Linked DNA regions of Anolis sagrei. Each later gene encodes a partner of the first gene's protein in a complex. Links are inferred from orthologs where the notes say so. Each region holds a gene or a part of one and is shown on either strand. Other genes may lie near its edges.

What was found. The genes of interacting proteins can lie anywhere in the genome.
Region 2: PRPF8 (region 1) and PRPF4 share a complex: the UniProt entries of both Homo sapiens proteins name them as parts of the U4/U6-U5 tri-snRNP complex. The link is inferred for Anolis sagrei from reciprocal best matches to the Homo sapiens genes PRPF8 and PRPF4.

Annotation. Positions count from the first base shown.
Region 1 is NC_090031.1:35,466,538-35,473,616, reverse strand, and holds the start of PRPF8 (pre-mRNA-processing-splicing factor 8), read right to left. Parts: upstream 3,039-7,079; 5' UTR 2,901-3,038; intron 1,235-2,900; 5' UTR 1,220-1,234; coding exon 1,114-1,219; intron 131-1,113; coding exon 1-130. Other genes in the region: C1QBP (complement component 1 Q subcomponent-binding protein, mitochondrial), read left to right, coding at 3,627-3,927, 5,566-5,716, 5,833-5,917, 6,846-6,941. UniProt on the Homo sapiens protein: Plays a role in pre-mRNA splicing as core component of precatalytic, catalytic and postcatalytic spliceosomal complexes, both of the predominant U2-type spliceosome and the minor U12-type spliceosome.
Region 2 is NC_090031.1:5,875,479-5,883,489, forward strand, and holds the start of PRPF4 (U4/U6 small nuclear ribonucleoprotein Prp4), read right to left. Parts: upstream 3,023-8,011; 5' UTR 2,965-3,022; coding exon 2,938-2,964; intron 1,625-2,937; coding exon 1,447-1,624; intron 1-1,446. Other genes in the region: anaphase-promoting complex subunit CDC26, read left to right, coding at 3,098-3,217, 4,948-5,124. UniProt on the Homo sapiens protein: Plays a role in pre-mRNA splicing as component of the U4/U6-U5 tri-snRNP complex that is involved in spliceosome assembly, and as component of the precatalytic spliceosome (spliceosome B complex).

The sequences.
Region 1 (7,079 bases):
GTCATATCTCCATGGTCACGGATGATTTTCCTCACATGCTCCGGAGGCATGTCCTCCTTCTGCGCATCCACAAAGCCAAACTTCCGCTTCTCAGCGTAGCGCTTGGCCTGCAGCTGCTGCCATTTGCGGGCTGCGAAAGCCAGAACACACTCACAATAGAGGCAGAGCTTTCCCCAAAAGAGCCAAAGCACCCCCCGCCCAAAGGGAATGATACTGCCAGGATCCTATAATTAAGGCCTGTCGTATATTAGGGATTTACTCATTATTTTTATTATACTCTGCTTTTTTTCTCTATGAATAAGAGACTCAGAGGGGCTTAGAGTTGCCCTTGGGCTGAGAATTGCGGTATATAAGCACAGTAAATAAATAAATAAAACAAATAAATAGAGTGAAGCCAATAATAATAATAATAATAATAATAATACTTTATACCCCGCTCCATCTCTCCCAGGGGGACTCAGTGCGGCTTACATGAGGCCTTGTCCAAAAATACAGTATCATAATATAACACAAAAGCATAACAAAACCAGAAATAAAATACATCAAATGCAAAAGCAATATAATAAATGAAGAACAAAAGCAAATCAAACATTAAAACACAGAGGATTAGGCTGGGCAAGGCCGAACTCAATGATAAATTTGTTAAACGCTGGGAGATAGGACAATATAAATTATTAGAAGGAGGATCCGGGGACAGGGAAGGATTTAATTGCACGAACCATAAAATAAAGTGCTTCTGAGGTCATTTTATGCAAAGTTTGGTCAGGGAGTATCTTACATTTAGGCCAATACAATTTAAGGCCTAAAATACACAAACATTAAAATAGAATTCAATATTAATGGTATATAAATAAACTATTATTATTACTTAGATCTTGCTATATTTCTCTAAAAAAATACTCAAAGCAGCTTATTGTAAAACCAATGCATACAATTGAAATCCACCTAAAAATATGCCAATATTAAAATATAATTAAATGTCAATGGTATTATAATAAGCAGTAAAAACTCTTAAATCTGATTAAATAACATAGACCTATGACGGAATAATTTGACAGATCAGCCTGGCTATGTCAACTAACAAGGCGATATAAGAGCGTGAACATATCGTACCTTTCTCCTGGAGCTTCTCCTCGGACATGTAGTCTGGCAGCGGAGCCATAGGGGCCGGCATCGGAGGGCAGGGCCCCCGGAAGGGAGGGAACACGCCAGTTGCCATGGCCGCAGGTCAGGCCTAAGGGAAGGGAAACAAACATGTTATTAATATATACTATTAGTATAATACATTACTATGGTATATTATTATATTGTACTATACCACTATAATGTCATATAACATGTATTATATAATATGCACCTGCCTATCTATAATATACTAGCCCTCCCTTGCCACACATTGCTGTGGTCTAGCCTGTGTATATATGTTTTGTGTTTGTGTGTATGTGTGTGCGTATATATTTGTGTGTATATGTGTATTTGTGTGTATATGTGGTTTTGCACATGCTTTGTAATGTATTTTTTTTTTGTTTTTCGGCTTTTTAAGTCTCTTCTGTTGTGTTTTCCAGTGTTTGTCAGTGTTTTCCAGTGATGGTCACTCGTTGGCCTGAGAGGGGTCTTGTGTCCAAATTTGGTGTCAATTTGTCCAGTGGTTTTTGAGTTATGCCAATCCCACAATAAATCATTACATTTTTATTTATATAACTAGCCGTTCCCTGCCACGAGTTGCTGTGGCCCACTCTGGTGGTCATGGGGGTTCTATGGCCCAATTCGTTGGTGGGGTTCAGAATGCTCTCTACAAATCCCAGCAACTACAACTCCCAAATGTCAAGTTTCTATTTTCCCCAAACTCCACCAATGTTCACATTTGGGCATACTGAGTATTCATGGCAAGTTTGGTCCAGATCCATCCTTGTTTGAGTCCACAGTGATCTCTGGATGTAGGTGAACTACAACTCTAAAACCAAAGGCCAATGCCCACCAAACCCTTCCAGTATTTTCTGTTGGTCATGAGAGAACTATGTGCCAAGTTTGGTTCAATTCCATCGTTGGTGGGGTTCAGAATGCTCTTTGATTGGAGGTGAACTATAAATCCCAGCAACAACAACTCCCAAATGACAAAATCTTTTTTTTTAGTGAAGGACATACATTGGGCTGTTAGGTGTCTTGTGTCCAAATTTGGTGTCAATTTGTCCAGTGGTTTTTGAGTTATGTTAATCCCACAAACGAACATTACATTTTTATTTATATAATTATACAATATAACAATACACAATAATGCACCATAATGATAATATATTAAACATAATATTATTGTTAATATATAATACACACACAACTATATATATATTACCGTTTTATTATTGAATATCTGAAGTTGTAATATTTTTATTGTGAGCTGCTTTGAGTATCAATATGGAGATAAAGTGGGATACAAATATAAATAAATAATGGGGAGGGGCAGTTAAATAAAATTCTTATCATTAATTATTATTAATATTAATTAATATTATTAATAAGACATGAGTCCTTGGCCTAGACTGGAAATTGAAGTCTTCTGCACACACTCTGTGTGTCTTTACTAATTACTCCTGTGTTAATTTATTGTAATTAATTAATTAATAATAAGCACAGGAGTAATTAGTGAAGTGTGTGCAGAAGACTTCAATTTCCAGCCTAGGCCAAGGAGCAAGGCCTTGGCCAATCAGACGCGGGCAGGAGGAAGAGTAGCCAATCAGCAAACAGTATGCAAATGCGCCAAGCGTGGGCCTAGTCCTGCTTCGGGCGCCTCCTTGGCGTAAACCAGAAACCCATTCTCGCTCCTTCTTTTCTAAAGTATCTCATTATGCATATGCAAATAAGCCCAATTATAGCGGGGAATAAAATTCGGGATGACTACTGACCTTCCGGCCTGGTATCTTCCCTTCTCTCCTCCCCTCCTTCCTTCCTTCTTCTCTCTTTTCCTCTCAGGCGAAGGACTCGTAATGGCGGCCGCCTTCGCCGCCTCTGCGTGAGAATCTCACACTGCGCAGGCGCCACTCTCCGGAAACGGATGAGGCGTGGAAAGGATTTCGCAGCCGGCCAATCGACGAGCGCTGAGAGTGAGGGGGCGGGGAAGGGAGAAGGTATCCGCCCCTTTTTTCTCTCAAACGCATGCGCAGTGAGGGCGGGAAGGCAACGCGCCGGAAAGGGAAAGGGACGGGAACCTTTGATGCGCGTGCGCACTAGCGAGGGAGCTCTCTTTTTTCTCTTTCTCCGGCGCGTGCGTAGTGAGAGTGTGAAGGCACCTTTGATGCGCATGCGCACTAGCGGGGGAGCTCGCTTGTCTCTTTCCGGCGCGTGCGCAGTGAGGGCGGGAAGGCAACACGCTTCAAAGGGAAAGGGGCGGGCTCCTTTGATGCGCATGCGCAGTAGCGAGGGAGCTCCCTTTTATCTCTCCAGCGCGTGCGCAGTGAGGGCGGCAAGGCAACGCGCCGCAAAGAGAAAGGGGCGGGCACATTTTTTGCGCATGCGCACTAGCGGGGAGTTCTCTTCTATCTCTTCGGCGCGTGCGCAGTGAGGGCGGGAAGGCAACACGCCGGGAATGAGAAAGGGGCGGGAACCTTTGATGCGCGTGCGCACTAGCGGGGATGTGCTTTTCCCCGCCCTTTCCGGCTTTCTGCTGCTGCTGCTTCCACTTCCGGTGCGCGTTCCTTTCCCCTCAGACGGCCATGCTGCTCGCTCGGGTCCTCCGCTCTTCGGCTTCCGCGGCGCTTCGGCCTTTCCAGGCGCGGACGGGCGCCTCCAGCCTGGCTCCGCGGCTGCTCCCCGCCGCCCGGCCCTTCACCCGCTCGCTGTGGCAGCTCCAGGAGCGCAGGCCTCGCGGGGGAGGGGGAGGCCTCAGGAGCCTGCCCTCCGCCCCCTGCGCATGCGCGGGCCTCCACACTGAAGGTGAGCCTCCTCCTCCTCCTCCATTCACCTCCTGGCCACGCGCCTGGCATCGTCCCCTGGACAACCTCCTTGCAGACGGCCCATTCTCTCACGCCAGAAGCGACTTGCAGTTTCTTAAGTCGCTCCTGACACCACAAGTAATAATAATAATAATAATAACAAAATAAAAATATTCTCTGAAAATAGGGTTTTGAATGCGTTCTCTCTGGGAATAGGATCTCTGTGCCTAGGAAGAGAATAATAATAATAATAATATATTATATATAATTTTATAATATTATATTATATATTATAATAATGTTAGAATTATATATATATATATATATATATATATATATAATAATCGTATAATAATGTAATTATGGGAGCTTTGGTGTGGGCTGGTTGTTGTTGTCATGCTTTCAAGTCATTTCAGACTTAGGTTGACCCTGAGCGAGGGCTGGGGAAATGACCTTGGAGGGCCGCATCCGGCCCTCAAGTCTTAGTTTGAGGATCCCTGGCTTAGACAGATAAACACATACATAGGATAGATACAGATATACTTACATAGTTGCATAGCTACAAAGAGACAGCTAGATTAGATAAACAGATGCATAGATCAGATACAGACATGCATACATAGTTGCATAGAGGGATAAATACAGATAGATCAGATAGGCAGATGCATAGATTAGATGCATAGTTGCATAGATAATAGCTACAGATAGATTAGATATATTGATAGTAATATATAATACTGATATTGTACTATACTAATAATATATTATATTGTATGTATATATTTTGTAAGCCGCTTTGAGTCCCCTGAGTAAGGGGAGAAGGGCGGGCGGCATATCCATGTCGCAAATAAATAATAAATACATAGATAGGTCCATAGATTAGGTCAGTGTTTCTCAACCTGGGGGTTGGGACCCCTGTGGGGGTCATGAGGGGGTGTCAGAGAGGTCACCAAAGACCATCAGAAAATACAGTATTTTCTGTTGGTCTTGGGGATTCTGTTTGGGAAGTCTGGCCCAATTCTATCGTTGGTGAGGTTCAGAATGCTCTCTGATTGTAGGTGAACTACAAATCCCAGCAACTACAACTCCCAAATGTCGAGGTCTATTTTCCCCCAATTCCACCAGTGTTCACATCTGAGCATATTGAGTATCCGTGCCAAGTATGGTTCAGATTCATCATTGGTTGAGTCCGTAGTTCTGTCTGGATGCAGGTGAACTACAACTCTAACATTCAAGGCCAATGCCCACCAAACCTTTCTAGTATTTTCTGTTGGTCATGGGAGTTCTGTGTGCCAAATTTGGTTCAGTTCCATTGTTGGTGGAATTCAGAATGCTCTGATTGTAGCTGAACTATAAATCCCAGCAACTACAACTCCCAAATGACAAAATCAACCCCCCCCCCCAACCCCACCAGTATTCAAATTTGGGTGTATTGGGTATTTGTGCCACATCCTACCTATCTGATACTTACACAACGATTCATAACAGAAGCAAAATGACAGTTCTGAAGTAGCAACAAAAACAATGTTATGGTTGGGGGTCAACATAACATGAGGAACTGTATTAAGGGGTCGTGGCATCAGGAGGGTTGAGAAACACTGGATTAGGTGGATAGCTCTCACCTGTGTGTTCTTGGCAGGCGACAAAGCTTTTGCGGAGTTCCTGGTGGACGAAATCAAGGAGGAGAAGAAGATCCAGAAGCACAAGTCATTGCCCAAAATGTCCGGCGGCTGGGAGCTGGACGTCCAAGGCACCGAGGCCAAGCTGGCGCGGAAAGTGGCCGGCGAGACGTAAGGGGCGCCTCCTCCTCCTCCTGGGTGGGGTCAGGTGGGGGTCTCCCACCCCTCTTGTTATATCTCTCTGGAGTTTGCTCACCTTGGGCTCCTCCTCCTGGTTCCGTCCACAGGGTCACGGTGTCCTTCAACATCAACAACAGCATCCCGCCGAGTTTTGACGAGGCTCCAGAAGGACAGAAGCCGGACGAGCAAGAAGTAAGTGGGGGTCCTTTTATTATAGACTAGCTTGGGTCCCTGGCATTGCCCGGGCTATTAGAAGAAGCCACTTTTTAATTGTCCCAAATGCCTAAGATTCTAGATGAACTACAACTCCCATCATGCCAGGGGAACTCCCTGAAAACCCATCAATATTTAGTTTGTCATGTTAGGCAAATTTGCTTTAGATGCATCCTCAGTGGGGTTCAGTGTGCTCTCTGGCTGCAGGGTGAACTACAACTCCCACTGTGGTCAGTCCTGTCAAATCCTTCCTTGGTCATGGAGGTTATGTGTGCCAAGTTAGACGCAGTTCCATCAATGGTGGGGTGCGGAGTGCACTTTGATCACAATTGAACTATAAATCCCAGTACGTACAACTAACCGATGTCAAGGCCAATCCCTCCCCCCCCCCCCCCAACTCACCAGTATTCAAATTTTGGCATATGGGGTATGCGTGCTGAATTTGGTGCAGATCCATTACTGTGTTGACATTGCTCTCTGGATGTAGGTGAACTATAAATCCTAAAAATCAAGATGAATCCCCCCAAGTCCCTCCTACATTCTTTTGTTGGTCATGGGGGTTTTGTGCGCCAAGTTAGGCCCAGGTCCATCATTGTGGGGTCCAGAGTTCCCTTTGATTGCGGGTGAACTATAAATCCCAGTACCTACAAGGACTGTGAATCAAGGTGAATTCCCCCCAAACCTTTCCAGTATTGCCAGCAGCTTACAGAATGGCAGTGGAATCCTAGAGTTGGGAGAGGCCCCCAAAGGGCATCTAGTCCAACCCCTTTCAGCCAGGTGGGAAGATGCAACCCAAACCCTCCCGACAGAGGGCCATGCGTACTCTGTTCACGAAGACTCCACCAGTTCTCCCAAAGGGAAGGCAGTGATCAAGATGGCTAAACAGAGGTCTGTTTTTTTCCTGCAGCCGGATCTCACGTCGACCCCGAACTTTGTTGTGGAAGTCACCAAAGATGACACCAAGCAGACCCTGGTGCTGGACTGCCACTACCCTGAGGACGAGGTGAGTGGAGGCCCGTGTGGGCCGTTCCCAAGTTGCAAACATCCGACTGACAAACGACTCACAGTTAAGAACAGGGCTGAAGCAACTGGGAATGAGGGGAATCCACCCCCCCCCCCTCGGAAGGGAAATCCACTCCTG
Region 2 (8,011 bases), about 30 Mb from region 1:
TTCCAGCCCTTTCGCGGGTGACAAAAGCAACAACTCGGTAAATGACAGAACTGGGATGAACAAATTCTATCCAGACTAGAACTCAGGTCAGCAATCAAATTCCCTATCTCTGGACATATGGGAAGCCTGAATTGTATTGCACCCCTTTCTCTTAGACACCTTTCACAGCCGGATTTTATCAGCTAGCACGCCAATGCCTTTCTAAGATCTACAGAGATACTTGCAGGAACACCTCAGCAAGCTAGAGTCCAAAAGTGGCAGGCGAAAACCCAGAACCTCAAGCTATGGCTGATACCAAATGAAACTTTTAATCAATTTTTATTAAGTATACATCAAAATTAGAGTGACATAATATAGCATGAGAAATTTATAGATATATAGATATAAAGATAAGAACATGTAAAGTGGGAGAACAATTGGTATAAGAGAAAAGTAGGAAAAGAGAAAATACAAAAACAGAAAAAGAGAGAAAAAATATATTGAAAAAATGTTGACTTCCATTCTGTGCTTTTGCTATTGTTCTGCTTCAAAATAGTTAAAACTATCTTCCTGTTTACGTTATTACAATTTAGTACTATTCTATACGTTCATTTACTATCTCTTTCTGCCATGGGAGTGGAGAATCAGTTTGTTATATCAACATAAATCTATCTATATCTAATTCAAAAGAAAAAAAATATGACTATTATATTTATCCTCCTTGTCTCTTAGCTTTTTCATATTCTTCAAAAAGTGTCTAATCTGTCCTTTTTATTGGGGGGCCTGAGTTGACCTTAAAAAAAAAAGTTAACGTTTCCATATCTTTAACTTCCCTTAATTTGTCCATCCAGTCTTCAACGTCGGGGATCTTAGCAGTTTTCCACAATCTCGCAAGCACTTATTCTTTCTGCTGTGGCCATATAAGTAAAGAGAACATCTTTATACTTGTCTAAAATTAAGTCCGAGTCAGTGATACCTAGAAGATAGTATTCTGGTTTTTTAACAAATCTAATTTCTAAATTTTTTTGGGTTTCCTCGTGTATGAGCTTCCAATATTTTTGTACTTCTTCACAAGTCCACCACATGTGGAAGAAACTCCCCTCGTGATACCGAATGAGAGACTCCCCCCTGGGCACATAGAAGACTGGGCGACTTGGAAGGCACTGAACAGACTGCGCTCTGGCACCACGAGATGCAGAGCCAACCTTAAGAAATTGGGCCACAAAGTGGAAGCCATGACACATGAGTGCGGAAAAGAGCAAACCACAAACCACTGACTACAATGAAACCTGAGCCCTGCCACATGCACAATGGAGGACCTCCTCATAGCAGCACTCCAAGTAGCCAGCTACTGGTCAAAGGACATTTAATAGAATGCCAAGTTTTTAACACATTAAAACTGTATCCTCAATCGCTTCTGACATAATAAATAAATAAATAGGAAGCCTTGGACTGAGTGGTTCTTACCGCTGGTGACGTTGATGTTGCCGGCCTCAATCGCTGCTTTGACGGCATCTTTGCCCAGCATCCCAGACTCTCCCTTGAGGAGACGCTCGCGCTCCTTCTCCTCGAGGCTCCCATAAAAAATGGGGCCTTTCTTGGCTGGAGGACCATTGCCTTCGTCGGAGGCCTTTGTCTTTCCCAACTGCAAGGAGGATAAAGTGAGGATCACTGCCAATGCTAATCGGAGCTAATAATAATAACATCCCTCTTTATCTCTCTTACAATATACCCAAAGCAGCCATACTACAAATCCTATAATATATCCACTCAAACCTATAGGAGAATAAGGTGAGGTTCACTGACAATGCTTATTGGAGCAAACTGGAACAAATTATTATATAAAATTATTATATAATTATAGAGTTTTTTAATACTGGTAGCCAGATTTTGTTCATTTTCATGACAAATCACGAACCAAGGAACATAAAAGGCACTGCAGACTACTCCAACCAGAGAAGTCAGCCATAGCAGAGCACCTGATGAACCAACCTGGACACAGCATATTATTCGAGAACACAGAAATGCTGGACCACTCTCACAACCATCATGTCAGACTACACAGAGAAGCCACTGAAATCCACAAGAAGCATGTGGGCAATTTCAACAGAAATTGAACAAAACATGAAAATGAACAAAATCTGGCTACCAGTATTAAAAAACTCAAAAATTACAATAGCACAACAACAGAGGGGAAACAATCAAGGACATCTAATCACCTCTCAACAAAAGGTTGCCTCAGGCCATCAAATGCTAATCAAGGTGGTCAGTTGAAACATTCACACCTAGCTCCAACAGACAAGAGTCCTTTGTCCCACCCTGGTCATTCCACAGATATATAAACCCACTTTCCTAGTTCCAACAGATCTCATAACCTCTGAGGATGCTTGCCATAGATGCAGGCGAAACGTCAGGAGAGAATGCCTCCAGAACATGGCCATATAGCCTGAAAAAACCTACAACAACCCATTATATTGTATTATTATTGCCATTATATTGTATTACATGATCATATTATGATCAATATTATATGTACATACAATGTATTATGTACATATAATATGTATCATAATATCATCATGTAATACAATATAATACCAATAATAATACAATTGGCCAATCACATTATTAGCATAGCACAATATTGGTATCAAATGACTATATTGTGCTATACTACTATGCTGCGATTACATAATATTACATATAATACAGAATATACAATTACTATATTGTATTACTATATTGTCATGCAAATTCCACACCAATGGAGAGAGTCAGGAACACTGGGATGCCTGTGGTGGAGGAAACACATGAAATCTAGGATATTGTCCCTGGCTGAAAGCCTTCACTTGGGTGGTGGGCCGTATGTTGTCTTATTTACATGTTTTAATTGTTTATATCGGTCTTAAATGTGTTTTTCCCCGAAAATAATATAATGTCATGAGTTGTTTCCCTTACCGATAAGCTTCTCGAGGCAGCCATCATTACTAATGGCGACTTCCGGCGGATGCGGCTTCAAGGAGGGAGAGGCTCAGCCAATCACGTTCGATCACGGAGAGGCTCATCTGGCGACACGCATGCGCACACGGGATGTCTGGCTTGGTCGTAATCACTGCGCATGCGTGGACGAGCAACGGGTCCCCGTTTGGTCCTAAAGATGCTACGTCGGAAGCCAACGCGTTTGGAGCTCAAGCTGGACGATATTGAGGAGTTTGAGGGGGCCAGAAAGGAGCTGGAGGTGGGTAGTTGGAAGGAAAGGGCGTATAACCAGCTTAAGAGGGGTTTGTTGCCCCATTTGCTTTGAAATTCCCCTTTGGGGGCACTCTGTGCATGCTCAGAGGCACTTCTCCTTCAGTTCCTTCAACTAGAGCAGCTCCTCCTATAAAATATATGAGCCCATAGTTGAATCATATTTATTCACTACTAACTGTCCCCTGCCACACGTTGCTGTGGCCCAGTCTGGTGATCTGGAAAAATAAAGTAATGGTTTCTAATCTGTGTAATGTCTTTATGCTTGTGGGTAAACAGTATTTCTTGTTGTCTCTTTGTCAGTGTTGATGTGGAAAGTGTCTGGTTTGCCTACTCTGGAATATGCACTATATCATTGTCCTTCTTTAGGGGTCCCTTTCAAATCTATAATATTATATCTGTGTGTGTGTGAATCATATATATCAGTGTTTCTCAACCTGGGGGTTTTCATCAGAAAACATGGTATTTTCTGGTGGTCATGGGGATTCTGTGTGGGAAGTCTGGCCCAATTCTATTGTTGTTGGGGTTCAGAATGCTCTTTGATTGTAGGTGAACTATAAATCCCAGCAACTACAACTCCCAAATGTCAATGTCTGTTTCCCCAAAACTCCACTAGTGTTCACATTTTGGCATATTGAGGATTCGTGCCAAGTTTGATCCAGATCCATCATTGTTTGAGTCCACAGTGATCTCAGGATGTAGCTGAACTACAACCCCCCTTCAACTCCACCACTATTCAAATTTGTGTGTATTGGGTATTCGTGCCAAATTGGTCCAGCGAATAAAACTGTGTCCTGTATATCAGATATTTACATTATAATTCACAACAATAGCAAAATTACAGTTATGAAGTAGCAACAAAAATAATTTTATGATTGGGGGTCACCACAACATGAGGAACTGTGTTAAGGGGCCATGGCATTAGGAAGGTTGCGAAACTCTGATATATATCTATGTATATCTATGGCTGGATGGCTCTTTGTCAGGAGGGGTTTGATTAGATTTTCTTGCCCTGATGAAGAGAGTTGGATTGGATGGTCTTAAGTATTTTCTGTTGGTGATGGGGTTCAGCGTGGGAAATTTGCCCCAATTCTGTCATTTGTGGAGTTCAGAATGCTCTTTGATTGGAATATTTGTGCCATGTTTTGTCCAGATCCATCATTGTTTGAATCCACAGTGCTCTCTGGATGTAGATGAACTACAACTCCCAAACTCAAGGTCAATGCCCACCAAACCCTTCTAGTCTTTTCTGTTGGTCATGGGAGTCCTGTGTGTCACCTTTGGTTCAATTCCATCATTGGTGGAGTTCAGAATGCTCTTTGATTGTAGATGAACTATAAATCCCAGCAACTACAACTCCCAAATGACAAAATCAATTTTTTCGAATGAAGGACATTTATTTTTTTACTTCATGTATTTTGTTGTGATGTAATTTTTCTGTTATTTTGTGTCTAACTTTGTTGTATTATTTTTAGGCTTGGCCTCATGTTAGCTGCCCCGAGTCCCCTTTGGGGAGATGGTGGCAGGGTATAAACAAAGTGTTCTTACACACACACACATATATCATAAATAAATAAATAGCCTGGAGCCAAACCATGTTGGGCTTTAAAGGTCAAATGCAGCTTAAGAACAAACCTACAGAACCTAACTTGTTTGTAACTTGGCGACGGTGTAATTCCGTGTTTAATTTTTTGTCGTGTTTCCGTTTTGCCTTTTCAGAGTTGCAAGAAGCAGCGGGAAGAAGTGGATGTGGTGGGAGCCAGCGATGGCGAAGGCGCGCTGGGATTGAACATCGACCACAAGAGCCGAGAACAGATGATCCACGACCGGATCGGCTACAAGCCCCAGCCCAAACCCAACAATCGCTCCTCTCAGTTTGGCAACTTTGAGTTCTAGGGTCTTTCCTCTGCTGACTTCCATGACACTAGAGCAAAAAAGAGGATTACTTAAAGAAAACAGCCAAGGGGAATGGACTTTAGATAAACCGAAGACTGGACTCTTCTCCCAAAACCTGTGAGATCTTTGTTCCACTTATGGAATTTTTTAACTTTCCTCAATAAATGTATGTGTCTGCTTTTTTTATCCCTATAGAGTTTGCATTTTAGGAAGAGGTGAGATAATAAGACCCAATCGGTCACGTTTGAAGTCAGGATTTGAAAGCCCGTTGGCCAATAAGTACCACATAACTTTGGTCAGTCACCTAAATAGAAACATATATGTTTGTGTATATACATAAACATATATACCGTATATACTCAAGTATAAGCCGACCCGAATATAAGCCGAGGCACCTAATTTTACCGCAAAAAACCTGAGAAAACGGATTGACTCGAGTATAAGCCGAGGGTGGGAAATGCAGCCACTACGAGTAAATTGCAAAATAAAAATAGATACCAATTAAATTACATTAATTGAAGAACCAGTAAGTTATATATTTTTAAATATTTACAAAAATTGTAATTTTAGATAAGACTGTCCAACTCTGATTAAATGATTATTTACCTTCTTCAATGTAAATGTGCTTATGTATCCTTCCAATAATAATAGAGGAACATAATAAATGTGATAACAACAACAATAATAAAAAGAGTAAAATAATGAATGTAGCAATAACAACAATTATGCAGTAAAATAATAAATGTATAATAGAGTAAAATGATAAATGTAATAATAATAAATAGAATACAATAATAAATGAAATAATAATAATAACAGAGTAAAATAATAAATAACCTTGACTCGAGTATAAGCCAAGGGGGACTTTTTCAGCTTAAAAAAAGGGCTAAAAAACTAGGCTTATACTCGAGTATATACAGTACATTGTGTTGTCGAAGGCTTTCGTGGCCGGAATCACTAGTTCCAGAAGCATTCTCTCCTGACGTTTCACCAACATATATACAGTACATATACACACAGACACATACTTGTCATATATCTATCTTCCATATATTTTCCGATTAATTTAACAGTGGAGATGCATACTGGGATTGCCTAGTGGTGTAACAGAGAGCAGCTTTTACAAATCAAACACACAACATACCTGTAAGATACATTCTGCTTTATTAATTACATACAGACTGATAATCCGTACTTACATAATAGTATCAGGTGGGCAATTTCCACTATGGATTTAATAGATATGTACATCCAGCGAGGCACAATGCTAGAAACATAGAAAAGGCACCTTTTTCTTTCTTGAATACAGTGGGGGAAAGCACTGGCAACACAAATTGTATCAGCTAATATGAATGCGGCTCGATATAACTGGACGATAGAGGGGAGTTATGTTTCTGTATGCCTCCCTTTGCAAAACTGAAATGCCCTAAATGGCAACAATTGAACCTCGCAAACTTCTTTGCATACCCTTGACATGTGTTTGGGGGCCAGCGGCAATATGCAGTACCAGTTTGGAATAATAGTGCATCCCATAAGAGATGCGCCATAGCACCTTTGCGAACAATTCAGCAGCAAGGAAATCTGTTGCTGAGACAATCCCGCTGCTACTTGTATGCTTGGCAAGAAAGAAAAGGCAATGTTTACTTCCCTTTCACCAAAGGACTGTGAAAAAAGTCCTGTGTAAGAGCTGGGGAACACTCTGGGAGGAATTCGGTCTGTCCTCCATATTTGCAGATTTGATTTAAATGGTTTTGATTTCTCTCTTCAGGTAACCCTGAAGGATATGAACCAAGTCATAGCCCAGAACTTCTACCTTTGTAGTGTTTCCTCAAGGTTTCCACATCCAATGTTTATTTTTCTCACGGTTAGGGCTATAGAGGAGGGACTGTGTTTTCTTAAAGCTAATATTGGGTTGCAGTGAGTTTTATGGGCTGTATGGCCATGTTCCAGAAGCATTCTCTCCTGACGTTTCACCCACATCTATGGCAAGCATCCTCAGAGGTTGTGAGGTCTGTTGGAAATTAGGAAAATGGGGTTTATATATCTCTGGAATGTCCAGGGTGGGACAAAGAACTCATGTCTGTTGGAGGTGGGTGTGTTTCAATTAGCCACCTTGATTAGCATTTAATGGCCCAGCAGTTTCAAGGTGTGGCTTGGATCTGGGCCAAACTTAGCACAAATCCTCAATATGCCCAAATGTGAACACTGGTAGTTTGGAGGAAATAGACCTTCACATTTGGGAGTTGTTGTTGCTGGGATTTATAGTTCACCCACAATTAAAGAGATTCTGAATGCCACCAGTGATAGAATTGGGTCAAACTTCCCACACAGAAGCCCCACAACCAACAGAAAACTATGTGACACCCCCTCACGTCCCCCCAAGGGGTCCCAACCCCCAGGTTGCAAAACACTGCACTTATCGAAAGCATCCTCGTGTCCTGAAACAGCAGGTTGAGTTGCATATTGAGTAGCAATCTTTGCCTGCACGGTCCAAATAATGTGAGAGACAGCTCACAGCTTCAGGTCATTCATCCCATTCTTATCTGAGGTAGTTCTAGACTAAGGGCAATTTGGATCGTTTTAGAACTAATTGTCAACTTTCGAGTCACACTGAAGCCAGCGTTTGTTCCATCCATTTATTTAAAAGATGCTTGATACGTTTAAAAAAATGATTTGCATACATTTTACACATTCACAATTAAGTGGCGATGGACAATTCGCATCAAGTGCCATTATTGTCGGATTGTCTGCGGCCATTTATTAATTTGGGCAGAAGACAAAAACAGATACGGTTTAGAAAGAACGAGGAAGTCAAAGCGGAGAAACCAAGCGGCCTAAAAACCTCAGAACCAATGGCATTAACTTGCTCATTGTTTACATCTTTGGG